Linked DNA regions of Xenopus tropicalis. The protein of the gene in region 1 interacts with the protein of each later gene in a biochemical or structural test. Links are inferred from orthologs where the notes say so. Each region holds a gene or a part of one and is shown on either strand. Other genes may lie near its edges.

Region 1 (3,830 bases):
TGAGCTGTATGCCACAATCATCAATATTAAAACAAGAAAAGGCTTGAACTACTTCAGTTGTGTGTAATGAATCTAAAATATATGAAAGTCTAATGTTTATCAGTACATTACAGAAAATAATGAACTTTATCACAATATGCTAATTTTTTGAAAAGGACCTGTAATTGAGAATTTACATTTGTAAGCGCTTAAACTTGAGTGAGAACAAGTGTTTGCATGGGCATGTGTTTGCTTAGCTATGAATGAGAGACTGTACATCTTCTAGTATGGTAATGGAAGTCAGAGTGTGATTTAAGTACGTTTGAATCGTTTTAGTGTAGAAAATTCTGGTTATATAAATGAAGTTAGGGAATACAAATATGTACAATGAATGAGCATTTTAGACAGGCACTTAATGCAAATGTTCCCCACTTTCCTAATATGAAAAAGTAATAAATCTTTACTATTTCCTGCAGGGAAAAAAATGCTTGTTGTGTCTCTTCTATTTACTATTACCGTCGTAAATTTTTACACACACAAAAAGGTATATATTTCTATAAAAGTGCACAAAACACTTATGGCATCAATTTAATTTAAAAACAAAACAAAAAAAACACATTGAAAATCAGCAGATAAAGTTCACAGCATGTTCCATTCCAACATGCCCTATAACACTCATTTTAAGATTTTTATTTTTTTTTACCTCAAGGCAATCATTAAACAGGAAAAGTGTAACTTGTTCTCCTCGATCACAAAGATCTTCACCAAGTGCAATTGTTTCTACACGCTGCACTAAAATTCGGTGGGAAGATAACAGATTTGCCTAGAACAAAAAAAAAAAAAAAAAAAACTTATAAAATATATGTACTGCGTCTATCCCTAAATGTATGGGCCAGGATACAATGCCACACAGATAAATGAACATACAGATAATATACAAGGATCCTATTTAATGGGTATAGCCTGATTTGCCCTGTACTAAGCACAATTTAGGAAGAGGTTTGGTACCACTAAAATACACATGGATTATAAAAAAACACTATGTTCTCCTGGAATCATGAGTTCTAACCCCTGCATGTAGACTTTGATACTTACAGGACATCCATCCACTTCATAGACGACATCAAAAATCTGCTTTTGCCCTTCAGTCTTCCTTTTATCTTCATTAATGTGCCTGGAGATAAGGGACAGTTAAATGAATTCAGTTACCATAGAATGCTGCCAAATGACATTCAGGCAGGTTTATGGAAGCCCAAGCATTAGACCACCGTGATCTCAGAGAACCATAGCAGTCGACATGTCCATTTACATCCATTTTAAATGAGCAGAAATGCAATGCCCATGATACTTCACAAGCACTTCTCAGGAAAGGGGAACTAAGCTTTTACAAACAATTCCTAGCTAAGAGCAGCAGCATCTGCAGGTCTGCCCCACAGAGCCCAACGCTTAAAGCTTTTACTTACATCATGACTTCTTTTAATGATTCAATTGCTTTTTCCAACATTACTTTGTCTGGGTTATCATCTGCTGTGTGCTTTTTGAGATCTACAAAAACAGAAAAGTTTCAAGTTACTTTCAAAGACTGAACAGAGCAAATCGCCAGCAATTCTATGCAAAACATTATCTTTTCAGAAAACTGGCCAAATAGTTTAGATGTAAACTTGTACTTAAAGGGGCAATATACTCTTTTGTTCAACATGAGTGCAATGAATAGGTTTTTAGCCTATTGTTTTAGTCACAAAAAATCTGTTTTTTGTTGTTCTTAAGCTGAAAAGGGACATTTAGGGTACTGGCACACTGGCAGCTTAGTCACCCCCAACAAATCTTTGCTACTGTGGGCAACTAATCTCCCTGAAATGCTTTCCATCCAGCAATAAATTGACTTGCCGGTGGGAAAACATACACAGCACTTTGTTTTTCTGAAGTAGCCTCTTGAGGAAACTTTGGTCGAAAATGAAGCATCACATGTGTTTTTCCCACTGGCGATTTACTTTATTGGTGGTTAAAAGGCATACGCAGAAAACCAGTTGCAGCTATAGCTGAGATTTAACATGGTTGACTAATCTCCTGGTGTGCCAGTACCATTAAGGTCCCCTGTGTTTGGTCCTTGCAAGGTGAATATTGGTAATCTAATTATGTACCTTTTTAGTAATAAAAATATAAGAACAGATGAATAATCAATTTACCATTCAGAAGAAGTGCAACACTTGGTAACCGTTGAACAGGTCTGATAAGGAGCTCGACTAAAGTTTGTCGTCCACATTCTGGCTTTGACTGGTTGATCTAGAAGCATAATACCAGTTATACTTATTATTATAGACTTAATACGAATAAAGTCACGTTATGGTGTTCTCAATTGTAAAAAAAACAAACAATGGGGTTATCAAACTTGCATTTCAGAAAACAAAACTTAGTACAAGTAGTGGGGCGAAAGAGGTGAGAACTTTTAAAAGAAGCGCTCTCAAGTTTATTGGGGGGTCCTTTGTAATGATCAAAAACTTCTTGTGCTAATCAAGGAAGGTTACAGAGCAAGGGATTTTGAGGCTCTTAAATACCTTCCCACCCATTCAGTCACTGACTCATGCTACTAATGAATAGTTCATGCGATTACCTGACACTTTTGGCCTACTCTTAGGAGATCTCCATTCACCCAGCCTTGTCCCATCTGTTTACTTACATCTCTTTATTATGATTTTGTAGGGTGCATATTGCAGAAGGTACACATTTTCCCCAAGCAACATATACTGCATTAATCTTTCTAATTATTATTTATCCATGATTTGGCTTGAATCACTGCAAAAGGATAAAGTAAAAATCCATGGATTGTTCTTCAATCAGACTATGCTTACCGTTCCCCAGGGGACAACATACATAAAAATTCCTTTTAGCCCCAAGAAATTCTGAACTGACTTTCATTGCTAATGCACTTAGATAACCATCACACTAAAAACACATTTCGATCCACCAGGGACAACGACCATCCTGACGAAGGTCCCTGGTGGATGGAAACGCGCACATACGAGCATGGAATAATACATTTTTGACTTTTTTTGATTTGCCATCTTGCTGTGAGGGCTTTCAACTTTGTGGAGACATTTGTGTTAGACATTTTTTAAAAGCATCACAAGAATTTAAGATTTAGAAAACATTTGCATAAAATGCACACATACCTTTAAAAAAGCGTGAAATCTCGGTTTCTGCTTTTCACATTTTATAATCATTTCCTTGCTCATTTCAAAGAAGTTGACAAAAGGTGGATATATTTTCACCAGATCTTTAGACTAAAGACACAAAAGGTATTTCTTTAACACATTAAGCAAAACAACTGTGTAAGATGCAAGATGCCTATTCTAGCTTACTACTTACTTAAATGCAGCATACACCTATAGTGTAACTCTGATATGGGGATCTGACAAAATATTTGACAAACTAAGTATTCAGATATATATATTTTTTTTTTTTTAAGACAAAAACCTATAAACACTGAGCATAGTGTAAAAAGGTCAGTAAGCAAAAACATTGTAAAAAGAATTAATTTTCAAATAAACTTACATAGGTGAGGATAATATCCCCAATACTTTTACTTTCGGCCCAGTCAATCATAAGTTTTTCCAGGTCTCCCTAGAAAAAATAAATAAATAAATAAATAATGGTTAAAGATCATGAGAATGTCAAGTATTAAATTTTAGAAAAGAGGCTTTGAGGAGTTTATGTTGATCTTTTCACATATTTAATATCCTAAAGCACTATAATATAGCACTCTATAGACCATGATATTATGAATGGCCGCTGAGTCAGTTATTAACTGAGCAATGATTTCCCCCGATTCATCTACAAAAATTATTTTGGCT
Region 2 (3,830 bases), on another chromosome or scaffold:
ATTCAAGATTTAGGAGATTTATGTCAAACCGTATTGTGTGCTTGCTCGCACCAATATAATTGGAAAACAAAACATGTAGACCTTGTGATAAAACAATTTACAACAATTAAAAACTTAAAATGAGTTTTCTACAATGAAGATTTTATAGCAGCCAACTAAAATGATAAAAATGCAGTTATAAAATTGTTAATGGCTGGCAGCATACTTGCAATACAGTACAATGTTTTATATATATATCCCTTCGGTAAAATGCATTAAAAGTGTTTAAAAGCAAGTGTAGATTAGTAGACACCAGGAGTAGTGTATAACTTGCACCCTCCGGACTTTTTATTTAAGCAGAGGGGAGGCGAAAAAGTTTCCTTGTCTGGGGATGCTGCTTACGGATTTACTTTTGCTTCCAAACCTAAAAAAAAAAAAAAAAAAAAAAAAGATTTAAGTCATCAGTAACATCAGAGTTTAGGAAACTTCAAACCAACCTATTATGGTGACTACTCACATTGGTGTGTTTTTGCCAATTGTGGATTTCATCCTCTGAGAAAGGGAGCTGGATGATGGAGTTTTATTGAATTGTTGCTCTGGAGTGGTAAGGGGTCCTAACATGCTGACTGGAATTTGAGGGATAAAAATGACACACATTATACAAAGTCCACATTTAATTTAATGCAGAGTTAACAATTTTCCAGAATTTTAAAGTAATTTCAGTGCCCTGACAACATGTAATCACTGTCAAACTGCAGCAGATGCTAAATAATTATTTTGCACAAAGATGTTTAATTTCTCTTATAATCCAACGTATCAGCAATTTAGAGCTAGGGGTGTGCTAAAGCCAATATTTAGATCTGGACCAATCCTCTGAGGAGTTAGTATTGCATCAGTTCTGGACAGTCACATGACTAAGGGATTTGATACAGCTTTGCTACATCTTAAAAAGAAAGTTCTAGGACGTCCATCCTTAAATTAAAATATGACTGACCACACAAGTCTGGTTGCAGCCACAAAAAAAAAAAAAAAAAACAAACCTATACAGGTTTCCATTATCTGGAAACCCATTATCCAGAATGCTCCAAATTATGGCAAAGGCCATCTTCCATAGATTCTATTATAATCAAATTTAAATTTTTAAGAGTGATTTCCTTTTTCCCCGTCATAATAAAACAGAACCTTGTACAGGTATAGGACCTGTTATCCATAATGTTCAGGACCTGTGGTTTTCTGGATAGAAAAGATTTTGAAAATCTGAATTACTTGATTAAAGTTAAGACTAAGAGACGGCTTTCATGTTTTTGAGCTTTCAGGGCAGGGTTTTATAGATAATTGATCCCAACTAAGATTTAATAATACCTTATTGTGGCAAAACAATTATATTGGGTTTATTTAAATAGAAATATATTAAAGTGGATATTTTTTTAACAATCGGCATTCTGAGAACATTTGGAGAACAGAACAGTCTGTTATTGCTCTAACAGGCGGAAAATCCAAATTCTCCAGCAGGGGTGCTTAGAGCAGGGAATATATTTAGTGGCATCTCTGTATAGGCTTATGAGGAAACCCAGGGAGTTTCCACCTGCTGTAGATAGTACCATTTAGTACCAGAGCATTGCCAGATGTGTGTTTCACATGGCCTGTAACCACTGCATGAATGTCTTTTCAACTAGTCCCAAAGGCTGCAGCCTTTTAGTGCCTATGATACCCCACAGGGGTATCAAATGGGTGGGGGGGCTAGTGGGACTGTGAAAATCCAAGCAGTCAAAATATATGTCTTGATATACAGCAGTAGTCTATAGCTAAATATAAAACTTTAAAATGGATTCATCTACTTTTCATTCCAGTTTTAATCCCCTCTTGGGAGCCAATTCAGTTAGTGTTTATGTACCTTTCTACAAAAGCCTAAACTCACAGAATATTCAATTCCACAGATTAAAAGGAAACCATGATAATCTGTCTGTACTGCATGGACTGGTCCACTTCCCCAGCCACCGCCACTGTTAAGTAATGGATTCTGGAACAAAGTCACTCTACTTTTTATGGTGGGTTGTGCACACATTCTCTGCAAAGCAGTTGGACTTTAAGTCCCAGAATCCATCATAAAACTGTAAACCAAAGTGATGCTGGGAAGTGGTTATCACAAGTCTGTGTAAAACAATACACTAATATTTTTTTTGGAGGACTAGATAGGTGTTGCACTTACATAACTATGAGCTCGTCAAAAAGGGAAGTATTTTTACTTTAAAGGAACTATACCTCCAACCAAGGTAGTCTCTATAACAATATATTGCATAAACAAGCTCATATGTAAAACCCTGCTTCATCTAAATAACACATTAATAAATATACAGTTTTCCTTTAACTGTACAATTTACACCTACTATGGATAAATTTCTGAAACCAATTCCATGTATATATTTTATACACACAATCCTAAATCAAGACTTTGATTTGTCAGTTTTACAGCTGCTATTTTACACTTATAAACAAGTCACATTTGCAAGAAACAATTTAAGAGTAATCAATATACAAAATTAAGTAGTGTATATTTACCTCTGGCGTCAGGAGTCCGAGGAGTGTTAAAAACATTGGCATTTTCAATAATGTGATTGGGGTCAATATTTTCTACCATCATGAACTGATTCCAGAATTCTGCAGGTAATAGCATCAGCCTTTCAACAACCTAATAATAAAATGTTAAACTGCATTAAAATCACATTCCCAAAACACAAAGTTCATAAATCACTGTTTTAAAATACTAACCATAGGTTGTCGCCTTGTATCTTGAAGAATTGTCATGGGGTCAGGATCTGGCACTGCATGACCAACAAGAGTTGGGCCAAATACCTTGGACAGATTGCTCACATCCATCTTACAGTCTGGGCTCTGGGCCACTCTGGAAAATGTGACATTTCAGTATGATGCTTTTAGGATTCACCCATAAAATAACTGGCTGAATTTGCAGTATCGCTCACCTTTGAAGATGGATCATCAAGTAAGCTAGCGTGTCTCTGTTGGGTGCTGGCAACTCATCTACAGCTTGGTAAATAGCAGCAATGCTGCTCTTTTCATCTGTAATTTCTGATAAAATATGTACATTGAAGTTTAGGTGCAATAATATGAAATGAGTCCTGAGCTATTGGAAAGCGCAAGGTAGGCCCCTTCTCGAATGCTCTTGAAAGTGTTGAATTGTTTATCAATCGCCCTATTACATGCAAAACAAGGTGATGTATTGTGAATACAAGTACAGGTATGGGACCCCTAAACCTGGGGTCTTCCGTTAATATGTATCTCCATATCTGAAATTCTATAAAATCATTTAAACATAAAAGAAACCCAATAGGATTGTTTTGCCTCCAATAAGGATTAATTATGTGTCTTAGGCACTGTTATTACATAAAAAAAAAAATGGAAATTTCTAAAAATGAGAATTGTTGGTTTAAAATAGACTATGGGAGACAGCCTTAATTCTAAACTTTCTGGATAATGGGTTTCCGGATAACAGTTCCTATACCTGTAATGAGATCATTGTGTTTAATAAAGCATGCTCTACTATACGACAACAAAATTGCTTTGGACAGAAGTCAGACAACCACTCACCAGCTGCTTCCATGAAAACTCTATTTAGCCGGAAAGTGAGAAGTGGCTCCTTGAGATTCCTCAGAAAGTCCTTCAGGAATCCACACACGGCATGAATATCATCCACTTTACTTAGAAGAGGAACACTCTTTCCTCTGAGGAACTTTTCCTTAAGTTCCTTCACTGTACGGTCGCAGCCAGAAATTCGATACAAACCAGTCTGAAATACATTACAAAACAATTTAGTGGAATTTTAGTACATACCA

What was found.
Region 2: the proteins of ect2 (region 1) and racgap1 form a complex in vitro, tested with the Homo sapiens proteins (3 studies listed by BioGRID and IntAct, with this or other methods). The link is inferred for Xenopus tropicalis from reciprocal best matches to the Homo sapiens genes ECT2 and RACGAP1.

What each region holds. Positions count from the first base shown.
Region 1 is NC_030681.2:110,939,925-110,943,754, forward strand, and holds part of ect2 (protein ECT2), read right to left. Parts: intron 3,601-3,830; coding exon 3,532-3,600; intron 3,261-3,531; coding exon 3,150-3,260; intron 2,263-3,149; coding exon 2,166-2,262; intron 1,525-2,165; coding exon 1,443-1,524; intron 1,154-1,442; coding exon 1,075-1,153; intron 803-1,074; coding exon 683-802; intron 1-682. UniProt on the Homo sapiens protein: Guanine nucleotide exchange factor (GEF) that catalyzes the exchange of GDP for GTP. Promotes guanine nucleotide exchange on the Rho family members of small GTPases, like RHOA, RHOC, RAC1 and CDC42.
Region 2 is NC_030678.2:148,514,346-148,518,175, forward strand, and holds part of racgap1 (rac GTPase-activating protein 1), read right to left. Parts: intron 3,785-3,830; coding exon 3,586-3,784; intron 3,067-3,585; coding exon 2,961-3,066; intron 2,882-2,960; coding exon 2,749-2,881; intron 2,669-2,748; coding exon 2,539-2,668; intron 606-2,538; coding exon 497-605; intron 404-496; coding exon 328-403; 3' UTR 1-327.